Linked DNA regions of Styela clava. The protein of the gene in region 1 purifies or fractionates together with the protein of each later gene. This does not show direct contact. Links are inferred from orthologs where the notes say so. Each region holds a gene or a part of one and is shown on either strand. Other genes may lie near its edges.

The links. The genes of interacting proteins can lie anywhere in the genome.
Region 2: the proteins of toll-interacting protein A-like (region 1) and cleavage stimulation factor subunit 1-like purify together in Homo sapiens (co-immunoprecipitation; 3 studies listed by BioGRID and IntAct, with this or other methods). This does not show direct contact. The link is inferred for Styela clava from reciprocal best matches to the Homo sapiens genes TOLLIP and CSTF1.

What each region holds. Positions count from the first base shown.
Region 1 is NC_135250.1:1,381,298-1,389,333, forward strand, and holds toll-interacting protein A-like, read left to right. Parts: upstream 1-4,733; 5' UTR 4,734-4,913; coding exon 4,914-5,828; 3' UTR 5,829-7,376; downstream 7,377-8,036. Other genes in the region: serine/threonine-protein phosphatase 4 regulatory subunit 1-like, read left to right, coding at 7,553-8,036. UniProt on the Homo sapiens protein: Component of the signaling pathway of IL-1 and Toll-like receptors. Inhibits cell activation by microbial products. Recruits IRAK1 to the IL-1 receptor complex. Inhibits IRAK1 phosphorylation and kinase activity.
Region 2 is NC_135254.1:18,916,987-18,924,001, reverse strand, and holds cleavage stimulation factor subunit 1-like, read right to left. Parts: upstream 2,417-7,015; 5' UTR 2,372-2,416; coding exon 1,079-2,371; 3' UTR 957-1,078; downstream 1-956. Other genes in the region: inosine triphosphate pyrophosphatase-like, read left to right, coding at 161-237, 320-419. UniProt on the Homo sapiens protein: One of the multiple factors required for polyadenylation and 3'-end cleavage of mammalian pre-mRNAs. May be responsible for the interaction of CSTF with other factors to form a stable complex on the pre-mRNA.

The DNA of each region.
Region 1 (8,036 bases):
TTGGTCCAATTGTTGAAAAAAAAAAGAAATTTTTTTAAAACGAAAATGCAGCAACAAGGAGAATACTAGACGGAAAAAACAACAACAATTTAAGAAAACGACTCATAGGCCCATTTCGTGTCCAATAAATAAGTTTCAGTGTTTATTTTCTAATAAAGAAAGTTAATATGATATTTGAAGACCAAAAATAAGCAAACATTTTGAAGTTTGAGTCATCTGGTGAACTCGTAATATTTTGATAAACACCGATAAACTATATAAAATTTTGCTATAAAATTTCTGCGGTGCTCCTTTTTTCTTGATGCCCTAAGCACTTGCTTATATTGTTTAATGGTTAATCCGGTGCTGCTCGCCAGTCTAGATGAGCAACATTTTTTGCCACTGGTTCAAAAACCTTGCTCTATACATACCTAGGCGTATTGGATTTGAAATGCCAAAGAAAACAAATTAGAGCCAAATTCACATTACCGGTAGGCCTACTACAATTCTCTGTATGAGAAATTCGACAAAAAAATGTTTTGCATTCTTAGAAAGCATTTCGTTATCCGATGCAGAGCACCCAGGCATTGCCAGCGACATGCACACCAAATATTGGTACTAGGGCAGTGGTTCCTAATCTGGGATCCGCGGACTTTTTGGGGTCCGCGAAACAAATCTGTAATACAGTATGACTATAGTTACTAGGCCATCGGGTTGGTATAATAGGATAGGAGGATTTACATCTTTATCCCGGGGGAGAGGAAAGCCGATAAGACGGCTTATCCATATGGCGAACCACAGCCTCTCGTCCGGTCACCATTCCAAGTCGGGTATGGGATTAATTTTACTGTATTGTTTGTTTTCGGAAGCATGGACTTGGTGGGGGAGGAAGCCGTAACCGACCAGCGGTTACGTGAACCACCCAACGACGACGAGGAGTCCAGCAATCCTCTCGCACATAATCATCCCTGCATGGGATTCGAACCTGCGAACCCACGCAGAGTAATTAGAGGTGCGGTGGCGAGCGTATTCCTAACGCTTAGCCCGTTGAGCCACACCGCCGCGCCAATCCTACCGGTACATTTGCAATTTCGCCCGACATATCACAGATAATATGGGTTTCTGCCCTACATAAATAAAATCAAACCTGCTCAAAACAAATATCAGGATATCGTCCCTCGAAGTTAATCACCAAGTAATATCCGATTCCACTGGTCTTTAAAAATGTATGCCTACTAGTGAAATTAATTATTCCTGTGTTCGAACTAAACTGACAGTCGGTCATCGGTACCTTCAACAAAAGATCAAAATTAGCATTGTCTTACTTACCATTGTTACAATGAAGATCATAAACGCACGAGTGAACTTCTGTTCCAGCGCTTTTTCGGGCAGCGAGCGTATAGGAATTAGGGGCCTGTAGCCTACCTAATTAACAAAATTTGACAAAGCAAAATGGCGGAAGAATTTGAACAAAATGGCGGAAGAATTTGAACAAATTGTCGTGAGCTTATCAGGTAACTCTCCGGGTCGGATTTTCAGGCAGTAGGATTCCGAGAGTAGATTCAATAGTTGACTCGTGCCGTCGCATGACATTGTACGGGATTCAGTTATTTTCAAACAAACCTTATAAAAGTATGAGATTTACTGTGAACTATTTTAAGCGTTTTAGCGTGTTTAGTATATATATATTGGCTGCTATATATATATATTACCATCGCAAAACTAAGCAATATATAGACTTTCTAACAAGATATCAGTGGGAACATTTGTTTTTACAAAGTGCGTATTTTCCTCTATTCTGTAAGCTCAAATTTCGATTTTATGATAATTTCACAGAGGTCCATTCCGATTATATTTTATAATCAATATTCCTTTTTATACTAAAACGTGTACTTTCGTGTCATTCGGAAATAAATTAATAGTTAAAAATCATTGTGTATTGCGCTTTTTGCGTTCCGTGCTATTGCGGTAAAAACTGTTTAATTGATTTAAATAAGCATATTGCGATTTTAGAGAGGTTTTAAAATCAGGCAGTTAATAATGTAAAGTGTGGACAGAAGTTGGGTGATTTCATAATTTCGGCAAAACGGGTGGCGACAACGTTAGGATTACGCTTGTAATCCTGCGTGGGTTTGTAAGTTGCGTCCTGTTTTTATGTGCTAGAGCAGTCCTGCCTAACCGTTTTTTGTTTTACGAACCACTTTCAGATGAAGATAATCACTATGTGGCGATGAACATTTTTACTAAACTCCAATGCAATTCTAGTTTATGTGAGGATTTACCGTATGAAAAGCAAGTTTATTTAAATAAAATCAATTAAGTCAACAATTGCTCGTCGAGTCGTCAACGACCTGGGATGGGGAAAATATCCCAATATCGAATCTAACAATTAAATATTCGAATGGCATTTCACTATTCGAGTATCTGGTAACTCGTGGCCGGGGTCATTTCACTGGACGCGGCGCTTGCGTTGCGCTGATCCAAATAGTTGGATAACACGCGGCACTTGGGTTATACAGACGAGCAAGCGAGAATTTTTGCACACATTTCCGCTGACAGACAGAGACGTCCAATAGAAAGGTTTGTATTATGGTGTTTATTGCTATTATTATTTTTATAATAATTATTTCAGAGCCTATCGTTTCAATTTTTATTTGACCATAATGCGCGCTGATGAAGCACAAATTTCAACAACTTCTCGAAACATCAAACACGTAATTAAGTATTACATGTAATTTTTCTGAGATTTTGTAGAATTATTTTAAATATGTATAAATGCCGTTATTGCCGATTTTATCATCATTTTAATGGAAAATGCGGCACTGACCAGCTACTTACTGTACTGGTATACACAATTACGACTTTAACGGAAGTTTTCATTTGACGTGATATCACAGATGCGACAAAAGAATAAAACGGAAAAATACAACAAATTCCGCAGCCAGCACGAAAAACAAGAATCGGAGTGAAATTAATTTGAGATGCAAATTCATTCCTATAATATTCGTTAATGTCGACGACCTCACAATAATCGTATTGACAAAAAAAACTAATTGTTCACGCCCGCCGGGGAGCAAGAATCAATCTAACTAAGGCATATGATTCGATCATTTTAAATTGAACTATTCGAAAACCACAGAAGAACCCGATTCACCAATCTTTTCGAGACATTTAAATTTGGCCTATACAGATATTCCGTACTGGATTGTCTCTAAATCATTATTACTGTAGGTTGAGTGCTCCAAAAGTAAAACTGCCCGAAGGTTCAATACATCCGCGTATTTTTTGTTTGTTCATTTCTGGCCCAAGCCATGTTTAAAAAGGTTTGTGTTTATTGTAATTTTTTTGCGTGTGTGCTGGTGGGTGGGCACATGATATTTCTCATGTTTTAAACTTTTCAAAGGTTTTGTTCGCTCTCCAGAATTCTCCTTTTATATTTTGTGTGTATTATGGAGTCTTCAAAATAAATCTATCTATCTATGAGACAAGGAAAACTGGGGGAAATATAGCTTACCGAATCAATTATGCCAGAATTGCAAAACATGATTGAAAATATATAAGAGTACTAAAATATATTATGATAATATTGGAAGTCTGCTTACAAATTTACGCGGCCAAGTACAAGCCGGAGCGTTAATTGGGCAGCTCTGTGGACTCTTCTCCGTCGTGAGGTGGATGGTTCATGTAACCACCAGTCGTGTATAGATTACCCCACCATCAAGTACACATACATAAAACAAATAACTAGCTTAACACAATCTCAGCCGACATGGACTGAAACCGTGCGAGTGACTGTAGTGTGCCATATGGGTTAGCCCAGTGTTTCCCAAACTTTTTCGTCAACGGGACACTTACACTTTTTATCTCGCTTCGCGGAACACCAAAAAAAGAAAGGGTAAAGTTGATAATGAATAACGGTGTAATGTAGCCGTTCCCAGTGGGTTCTCAATGCGCCGCGAAAATTAACAGGATTGTTTTGAATATTTTACATAATGCATTTATTATAAATGTTTTATTATTTCCTAATTTAAATGCTGTGTATATGGATCAATTCATTTATTTTACTGCAGTTCATCTACTGAATAGAGTTTAGCGAAATGAGTAATTTTTTTCAGCATTCTAGAGTAAAACCAGGCAGAGATGGGGAAGAAGTGTTGACTTTTTGCCTTTATTCTTTCTACTCGTTTGCCTATAGCAAAAATCAAAAGGATTGCTGTAAACTCGTTAATGAACATTCAACAAGCTAGGCCGACGGAAAAAGCCACTACCCCAGTAAGTAAAGGTGACGGCCAGTTAGACGACAACTTCACGTTCCAAAGATCGCCATGGCGACCATTTTAGACGTAACACTTCGATGACGCTCGCGGAACACTAGTGTTCCTTGGAATACAGTTTGAAAAACGCTGGTTTAGCCAATCTTGTCAGATTTCCTCCCGGCTCGGCGGCGTGGCGCATCATGCTGAGCGTCAGAAATACGCTCCGCACCTCTGCGTGGGTTCGCAAGTTTGAACCCCGTGGGCCGTGAGTGATGATTAGGTGCGAAAAGATTGCTGGACTTCTCGCCGCCGTAGGGTGGTTCACGTAACAACCCTTGGTCGGCTACGGCTTCCTCCACCATAAAGTTCAAGCATCTGAAATAAAGACCTGGCTAACTAACCTTATATACTCGACATGGATCGGTAACCTGACGAGAGGCATTGGTTCGCCATACGACTAGGTCTTGTCGGCTCCCCGGGTAAATATGTGTAAATTCTAAATATGAAAATCCTATAATATTATGACCTTCGACCCTTAAAGCGTATCAAATTGTATTTTCTATTCCGCTCTCTGGCTCTGATCTTTGTGGGTCTAGTTCTCTTTTTCCAGTTTTCCGTTGACCTGTCGTTTTCAATCGTTTGAAATTTTTGTAGATTTGAGTTATCACTTAGGGTTCTATGGCTTCGGCAGTTCAACCTCAGCCTGCACAGGCTCCAACAGTAAACGGAAATGGCGGTATGAAGTTGACAGACACTAAACGAGGTAAAGTCCTTCTGGGACAACTTTCATCTGATTTTTTGAGAATAAAAACCGCTGTTTCAACAGGACAATCAAGGAACGACGCAACCCTGGCACAGCAAATGGCGTTACAGCAGCAACAAATGCTGACACAAACTGCTGTTGCAGGAACTGCAAACAGATTGAATTTAACTTTAGTTGAAGCAAAATTAAATAAGAATTATGGTGTTACAAGAATGGATCCATACTGCCGTGTTATTGTGGGACATGCAGTTTATGAAACTGCAACAGCACAAAATGGCGCAAAGCTTCCATATTGGAATAAAACTATTTCAACTACGGTGGCACAGGATTTAAAACATATCAAGATAGAAATTTACGATGAAAGAGCCTTTTCTATTGATAACAGAATAGCGTGGGGTAAAATTGACATTTCGGACGCGATAAAAAGTGGGAAATCTGAAGATGATTGGTGGCCGTTAAGCGGAAAACTTGGCGACGAAAAGGAAGGAATGATACATTTACAAATTTCATGGTCCAAAGTTCAGCAACCAATTATATACAACGCTCCAATGCCGATGATGTTCCCACACGTCTATAATCCTGCTGGTGTACCTATGATGATGCCCGCGGCAGCAGGTGGGTACATGGTGCCACCTGGTGTCCAAGTCGGGGGTATGTATCCACCAAGTCAGCCGCAAACACAAATTCAGCAACCCGCGATCACAGAACAAGATCTCAAACAAGTTAAAGAAATGTTTCCGAACGTGGAGGATAGCGTGATTAAAGCAGTTCTAGAAGCAAGTGGAGGAAATAAGGATGCAGCTATTAATTCTCTATTAAATATGCAATAATAAGTTTGGTTTAAAAAATAGGAATGTAACATGATGTAATATACTTCAGAAAAAAATTCATCCTTATCGTGTAGTCATTGAAGCTGAAACTAGCAGCATCAACTATATTCTTCTAAGATGGTAAAATCTTCCATTTCATAACTTCTGTTGCTATTTCATTTACATAAGTGAAAGTGCGTCTTTTTTAAACTGTCCTCTTTTTTGTATTTAATGTTCCCTACCCATTATAATGATCCTAAACACGGTTGACTGCTAGTCCATTAAACTCAGAACAACAAAAAAACAGAGGATATTCCCATCAAGAATATTCCATCCAAATATTTGAATACATCCCTAATTGAAGATAGTCGATACAGTAAAATTGTAAAATTAGGAAGAATTAAAAATAATTTTGTTTAAAAAATTTATCATTGTAAAGATTTGACATCCGATATCAGACATAATTCACCTTTGACACTGTAATGTGTGAAATATATACTATTTGAATCATTCTGCAATACCAATTTCAATTTATTACGAATTTACAGTTATTTGCTCAAATATCTTTTTTTTTCATAATAGTGCTTATAAATATAGTAATTATACTTGCAACCCCACAACGAGAAAAGTACAGCAATTTTGAAAATCAGTATTCTGGCTATTTCTGACTCGTATTATCAACTGTTTTAAATATGAAATATCCAGTTGTATATTATGGAGAAAATGTGTTTGTTCATCTATTGAAATATTTCAGATATTTTCATGCTAGTGTTGTTTTTTGTACATACCGTAAATATTCTCTTAAATTATGCTTTTAAATAGGCATCAATTATGTTTGTGAGGTATTTCCTTATGTTAGAGTAACTTCTGTCAGTCAGTAGTTTATTTTTCACCAAAATGAAAATGCACTCACAGTGAACATACACTTAAAAAAAGTTGAAAATGACATTTCATATTGAAAGGTGACGCGAACAACCAAAGTTGGTTATCGAGCAGCGACACCTGTGATAAGAGTCTAACTTTGATACAAGTTTAATAGAAATAAGACGAACAATATATATATAAATTAATATATCAAATATTAAAGTCGAAAAACCAAATTTGTTGTCATTTCATTTACTTTTAGTTTTTTACTATTTGTTATGGACATCACTGGTAACCAGACAAGATGCTGCCGTAGATGGTATTCCCATTACCCGGTATAAATATCCAAATCCTTTCCTTTTGCTACTTTGTTAACTGAGCAATGTTAGTTCATTGTTTCCCAAGATCTTTTAGGTTCGACATTACCTATCCAATTTATAAGCTGAAAATTACGGCTGTCGTGTATTTTGGTCTAATTTGGTATCCTTCAGTCTCCTCCACTTCCGTAAATTAATGAAGCCTGACTTGTTAGAATATCTGATTGTTATCCGGGAGAAACCAATGCTGCTATTTCATGCTTCATAGATTAGCACCAAAGTAAAATTGTTCTAAATCTAGTTGTTTATGTTTATTATTTCATTTAATCATTGTTCTTATACTACTATGTCTAATAATCAATATTTTATTGTTAATATTTTAATTCAGCTTTAAATTAAAGTTTATCGAAAAATCTAGTTTTAAATTCTATACAAAGGACGAAGAATTAATAAATTTCTGTGCAAATCAAAATCTGCCTGTACTTCGCAAAGAGAAAATTTATTATTTCTGAATTGGATAAAAGTGCCAGATTTTGCTCATTTTGACAATATAAATCAACTAAAATGACTGATTTACGGATCGTCCTAAACCTTCCGAACGAGGATATGGAGGTGGACATGGACGAGAACTTTGACGACCAGGAAGATGACAATAATGAAGGTGACCAGCACGGTCAAATGTCATTTAGCACAATTGGTAGCGGAATTATGGCTTTTAACGATTCTTCAATTCCGTCACCACTCGATGTCACTACACCTGAAGAGCTTCTGACACCGTTAGCAAGATTGAGATGTTTCGCTGTTAGTGACAATATATTTAATCGTAGAATGATTGCTCACGATGCTTGTAATGTTTTTGAAGCCGTGCAAAATGACGAGAAAGATTTCGAATCTGCTATTCAGTGTTATCTCAAGCTTTCAGAAGATTTAGAACCGTCAGTTCGAGTCGAACTCATGGAACAACTTGCTGAGATAACAGAAATATTTCATACAAGATTGCTAGACAGTGCTGTGGTGCCTATTTTACTCCGATACCTCACTGACGTGA
Region 2 (7,015 bases), on another chromosome or scaffold:
CTTCGATCCAGCAGCTTCTAACATATGGAAACTAAATTATGTGAAAAAAAATTCTTCAATAATAAGCTTTCAAGTAGTATTGCCCAGAATCTATGATTTAATAAGGAATGAGAATTTACTGTCATTACTTTTCACAAGTCTTTCCTTAATTGCTTACTAGGGGAGGATCGTATCACCTAGAGGCCCAAGGGACTTTGGATGGGACCCAACATTTCAACCAGATGGTTATAATGAAACGTGAGTACATTGTTGTTATTTTATGACTGGGACTCATTCAAATTGAAACCCAATAGCAAATCCATGCCCCCATCCAATTCAGATATGCTGAAATGGCAAAAGATGAAAAGAACAAGATTTCCCACAGATCAAGAGCCCTCTGCAAGATGGCAGAATACTTCGAAAAAACAGATGATGGCTGATGAGTGAACCACAAAGCTGATAGAAAATGGTCCGGTTCAGACTTGGGGGATGCTTGGCACCTCCTCAGCATGGCAATTCAATATGTACACCTTATAAATTTGATGTGTCCTGTTAAATAAACTTTCCCCGAGTCAGTACTGATATTGTGGCTAATTTAGTTACGAAAAAGGGACAATCGTTTTAATCAATGTGTACTAAACGCTATTGTCAAGACAAGAGCACGAACTAGATAAATATAGGAATGCATAATACCCCAGCAGTGGTGGCAATTTAGTGAGAAGAAATATAGAAAAATTGGGACACAGCCACAGGTTTGGGCATAAAATGAGGATGATTTCAAAGGGTTTATTAGGTCGAATAAATTTCTTTCGTCAATTGATAATTCACTGCCATAAAAAGTGGAATGAGAATTAAGAATATCAAATAAGCTTTAAAAAAAACAACAGGGTCTGGTCTGTTGGAAAGCATAGATAGGCAAGGTTCTTTAAGACAGTAGGCAATCGAAAGCACAAGATTTTATTACTCTGTCTAATATACCATGCATCTTCAAACTGATGATCTCCATGAAGTAAATTTTAATTTTGCTCATGTTATGCTGCGCTGACCCTAAACTTTGTGGTCCAGAAACACATAGTAAAATGTGCTATCCAGCAGCAATTCAGTCCGTTCCTGTCGTTCTCTTATACCAGAACCGAGCTCTGTGATCCTCGCTGCACGTGATAAATCCAGGCGATGTTGGTGAATGGGCAAGACGATGAACAGGACCGTTGTGTCCGAGTGACAATAGGCGTTGTCTTTCACCAGTTCTGGTGTCCCAACAACATAGTGAAATTGTTTTTTCATCAGGAAACAATGCATAGTCTTCAGTATGATTAAACACTGCTTGTGCTTTGTGTAATTGTTTGCCACTAAGTTCTGCTCCTGTATAAGCAATGAGTGAGCGTCCTGTTGCAGTCTCCCAAAGACGGCATACACTGTCTTTACCACTTGTCAAAAGGTATTTGCTATTTCGTGAAAACTGTACAGAACAAATTTCTTCACCACTGTGGGCTTTAGGATATGTTGCAATACATCGATTACTGACACCATCCCATAACTTCACATCTCCGTCTTTACTCCCAGAAGCATAAATTCTACCATCATTATTGTAAGCCAACATGGTTAGTGGACCTCTATGTTGATCTGATGGGTTGCAACTCACATAACACTGAAAAGTGTTCAGATCATAAAGTCTCACAACTGGATGTTCTGTGCCAACCAGAAGGCATTCTCCACTGGGGTGCATGGAAACTGAGCGCACAGTTGCAACTTCTTGAATGGTTTTTGAAGCCTTTTTTGTAGAACTCTTTGAAAAGTCAAATACTTTAACTGTACAGTCACGGCCACCTGAAACTAATATTTGCTGGGTTGGGTGAAAATCTAATGTGGTCACTTCATCATTGTGATCATACAACGTACGAATAACAGGGTGGTCTAACATACCTGGTTGATCATTTTGCATTTGAGGAGTCCCTTCATGTATACTTTTGGCAACCATTCTCTCAACATCCAATACTTTTATTGACATATCCACCGATCCTGTCGCAATATATTGTCCATCTTTTGAAAAAGTCGCTGCTCGACATGGACCTTTGTGAGCAGTAACGTAACTTGTTTCATATACAATTGCTTCTGGAGACGTTATTTGAACATCTGTCTCAAATTCAAGATCTATTCCATGGCCAGGAGCAACCAGTTCTGCAGTAGATGGAAGTTTAAATTCTTTGTCATGTTCAAGCTGGGTAATTCCAGTCTCAAATACTTTGAGCAGTTTATCAGAAGGTGGACATGCTAGTGTTGGCTTCACTTGAGATGTTAAGCTTTTTGCGACAGCAATATATCCGTCATTCAGCAACTGGCTAATGATAGCCCTATACAAATGATCTCTCATTTTAACATTGTCCGGTTTCATTTTTAACGATTATCTGTTTTTATAAAATACTAGTAAATGCCAAAAAGAAAAGCTTAACTGTTAATACTTTAAAACATGGATGCTGACATCGTTCTAATGATCAGTGTTGACAAAATAGCCTACTATAGTTTTATATACATATATACCGTCTGACCGTATACTGGGTATACAGACTGATAGATCAACATTGAAATTTTAATACCATGTAAATACAAAACCAAATGCTGATGACATATTGCTGATATGCGATGGAAAGAGCAATGCATGGGGAACCCTACAAATGTATGAAGCTTCACCAAACCAAATGCTAATTGCCTTCATTTTCATTCATACCCACAGCTGCACAGATAAGCAAAACAAGGATCCACATTGTTCGGATTTGACTTCATAAGCAATAGTCTACTGATAAAGTGATATACATACAACAAAAATCTGACTATTGATGTGACGTTATGTACTAATACTGTTAATACAATGTAAACTGGATACTACACATTTTTTTGCAAAATTTAAATCAATTTATAAAAAATATGATAGTTTTTGGTTCAATCAAATAATTTATTTCCATTCAGTTGCATGAAGCCCAATTTTCTAGCTAATTTAGGTGATGCCATAAAATGTGTGAGTATACAATACAAAATGAAAATGACATATTATAAAATCCAGATACATTTACCCATTCTGCCATTCATCTCCATTAACGGTACCGGTACAGACCGCTGTGAAGCTAGTAGAATTTGATCTTTGTTTTATATATCTTCGTTTCCATAAGTATGGTGAAAAAATAGACTTGATTACTCAGAAGAAGAAACACGTACCGTAGACGGTTATGGCCATCGTGCATTTAATCAATCAGCTGACTTTGAAATATTTCCAATTTCGCAAATGAATGCGATCGTATTTCTACATTAGCTTGGCATTACAAACAGCTCATTTTTGAACCTGTAAACTCTATTTATTCGGTAATTCAAAGTCTTGCACACAGACTAGCTCTGTGCGTACTTATTGAGGCGAGTAGTATATGACAAGTTAGATACCGTATTTGACAAATCAGAAAATAAAACATTAGTGTAAAACAAACTGCCGTTGTGCTATCGATTAAGTTTCCAAACTGCACTTAAATTTATGTTGATGTTTCTTCCATATCTACAATCGAGAGCAATTCTGCCGTGTGGAATTTAGAAATCGCCTACGTTTTACTCCATCACCCTTCAATAAGCACAAAACTGTAATATAACTCTTCAATGAGCACGAAAACGAGACTTAACGCACCGCTGCGCACAATTAGAAGAAGGTTTGCTACTAGCTTCACAGTGGTCCGGTACAGTATATCCATTAATACAGTACAGTTACACACCACTGTGCAGCTAGCGGCAATTTCGGCCAGAATATTTTTACACATTGAATATAGTTCCCACGCGCATGTAGTATTCACTTATAGATACATATTAAAAAAAATTAAAATGGCTGAGAAAAAGATAATTTTACCACGGAAAGACATGACAAAGCATTAAACTAAAGAACTACAATGAATTTGACAATAAAATAGGGTCTAAAAAAAGAAATTGGGCAAATAACGCATTCCCAGGTATTCCGCAAAATACGGAGTTTCTAAGATTAGTACAAGTTCTAAACAATATTTATCAAAATCCTCCAATAGAAGCAGAATTACGATGAATGGTGGGATGTAAAATTTTATTATAGATGAGATATTATTACAACGGTACGATATCAGCACGTTATGACATGGCCATATGTGATACCAAACATAACGCATATTTTTCAATTTTATAAACAATCTAGAGTCTGGACTTAATCTATTCCAAAAGGGTTTTGTATTTTAACCAAATTTATCTAATTATGGAACGAATAACTTTCTTACTTTTTCACACATCAATACTGTACGTTTATTAAACTTGGAATAAGTTGCGGAAAGTCTAAATCACAAAAAATAAATTCACGCCATCTATTCAAAATTTAAAAAAAATCATCGACCCTGGATTGGGGATTTCTCGAAAACCGCCAATAAAGGAAGCACTACGACACATTCAATTTCATTATAGCAGAACAGTAGCTCCACGTTTTGACTTAGGCAAATATAATACTAAATATAGCGAATATTTCTCAATTTTATGAACAATGTATTCAATACAATGTATCTAACAATGTATGTAATTCGCAACATAATCCAAGTTTAATGAACATACAGTATTGATGTATGACAACGTGAAAAAGAATTTTGCTCAAATATTCAATAAATATAGTTTAATACGAAACCCCTGTGAAATATGTTTACATCTACATTGTTTATAAAATTGAGAATACACGCTATGTTTGGTATTGTATATGGCCAAGTTAAAACGTGCTGCTACTGTTCTGGAATAGTGAAATCGAATCTATAAGGTATCTGATTTTCTTCGAATGTGTCGTGTCGTATTGGCGGTTTTCGAGAAATCGCGACTACAAAAACGAAAATTTTTATTGTTGGTCAATCGAATAGCACGTTTTTTCCCTGTCTTTTATATCTAGTTATTGATATGCTATTGTTGATCAATTAAATTATTTCCAAATTGATCTGAACTAGCAGTAGGATAGGTTTGTTTGTAAAGGTTTCATCAATCATACTCTAGCACCAAAGGTAAATAAAAATGTTCACTCATCATTGCTCGGTTTGTTTTGTAAAATTTTTCTATTGATTTGACCCTCTTGTTTAAATCAGAAACGTTTCCCAAATCCATCTGCTAAACCTTATTGATAAGTATACCTATTATAAGTATTATTATTTTTGAAATGCAAGTTTGTAAAAATGCCAAACATTTGCATGAACAAGTCCATGAAATATTTTAAACATTTTCAGATTGTGACTAACCTATAAATAAAATTCCTGGTGTGTTACTTTTTTTCAATACTGTGTATCACTAAGTTACATTCAAATATTTTTCACATTCAGACAAATTATCATCACAATATAATTTTTGTCTTTGATTCACTGTATATATATATGGCCAATTTTTTTTCCAAGTACTTTGAATATTGTGCTAAATATAAGCATCCAAACCTCATTGAATTCGAATTTATTTATTTCCAGTTAAATATAAATTTCCATCTCATTATTCTGACCGCTTTAGATTGTTTTATTTAACGAATACAACACCGGACATCCCTCTTTTTTGTTTCTTTTTTCTTCCTTTAAAACACACTTGCATAACATTGCATTAACCAAAAAATCCCTTAATTTTGTTAAGAAATTTATTGTAAAAATTTTATCGTAATGGTTCAAGTTTTGTCACTAGTCATCTTTCAGTGTTAATCACATCAGCGTATATGGTGGGAGCTGACCTCAATGACCGTATGGCGCATGGTCGTATCGCTCTCTCCTGTCCATACCTAAACAATTTTATTTGCTGTTGCTATTTTATTGATGACTGTATTTTTTGGTTGACGAAATAATAAAACCTCTTTCTCTCTCTTGGCGTACAGTATAAATGTGTAAAAAGAAAAAATATATTTGATCAAGTATCCTGCAAATTAAGTGAAATACAAACTTTTTTTTAATTATGTCCACAGTGTTCATAAAATTGAAGAATATGCGCTATGTTTGGTATTATATATGGCTAAGTCAAAACGTGCTGCTAATGCTCTGCTATAATGAAATTGAATCTACAGTATAAGGTTCCTGATTTGTCCCATTATGTGGTAATGCTGCCTTTATAGGAGGTTTTCGAGAAATGAACGTCACGAAGAAAATTCGGTCATTTATAAACAACTCCTAAAAAAGTATGTAATTTTGTAATGCACTGTTACAGTCGATTTAGCTTGTTTACAAAATATTAACAAGATGAGAAGTGTAGTTATTGATTGATTTGGTATTGTAAAACTAATAAAAATATACACTTTCTTTCTAAAATGATTGGAAACATTTGTTTTTATGCGTGGGTATTTTCTGCGATTCTGTCAGCGCCAAATTTTTGTTTTGCTTATTGCTTCATAGAAGTGGTTCACCCCGGAGTGATGGTTTTATAAATTGGAAGTGTTCAGAAACATAAGAGCCGAGAGAAGAAGTTATTCGCAAAGTAGGCATAACTGCATAATAAACAGCAACGGAAACTTGTGAGATCATGCTGCAGTAAGCCAGAGAATAGCTACTGGTATATGAAGCAAGTAAATATAATTCTACCTTTCGCAGTTTCGTGCTCTCCAGTATCAGTGTCAATAAATTACCGGAACGGTGTAAAATATCTACCCAAACCTACCGGAACGGACCTGTAAATATCTTGTAAAGGTCATTTGATATACCCCTAGGCCATTTCCAGGTAAAACAGCGAACTTAGGGGGGACAGTAGAAAAAATAGTACTAGTATCACGGTGGCCTTTTCAATTCGTTTACTACTCCAGACCGCTGCAGTCCATAAAAAACAACACAAACGAATAAACATTCGCAAAAACAAAAATAACACAATAAATACCTGATACGACAATCAGATTGCAGAATTATAGGCGGGACCAAATTCGCCAAACTAAACCAACATGCAAATGAAAAAAAAAACACAAAAATAAAGATATATAGTTTTATTATTGATAATCATTTCAATATATTCTGTCTGCATCTCACTAGTTGACTTGCTGGGAACAAAATTTCGCATG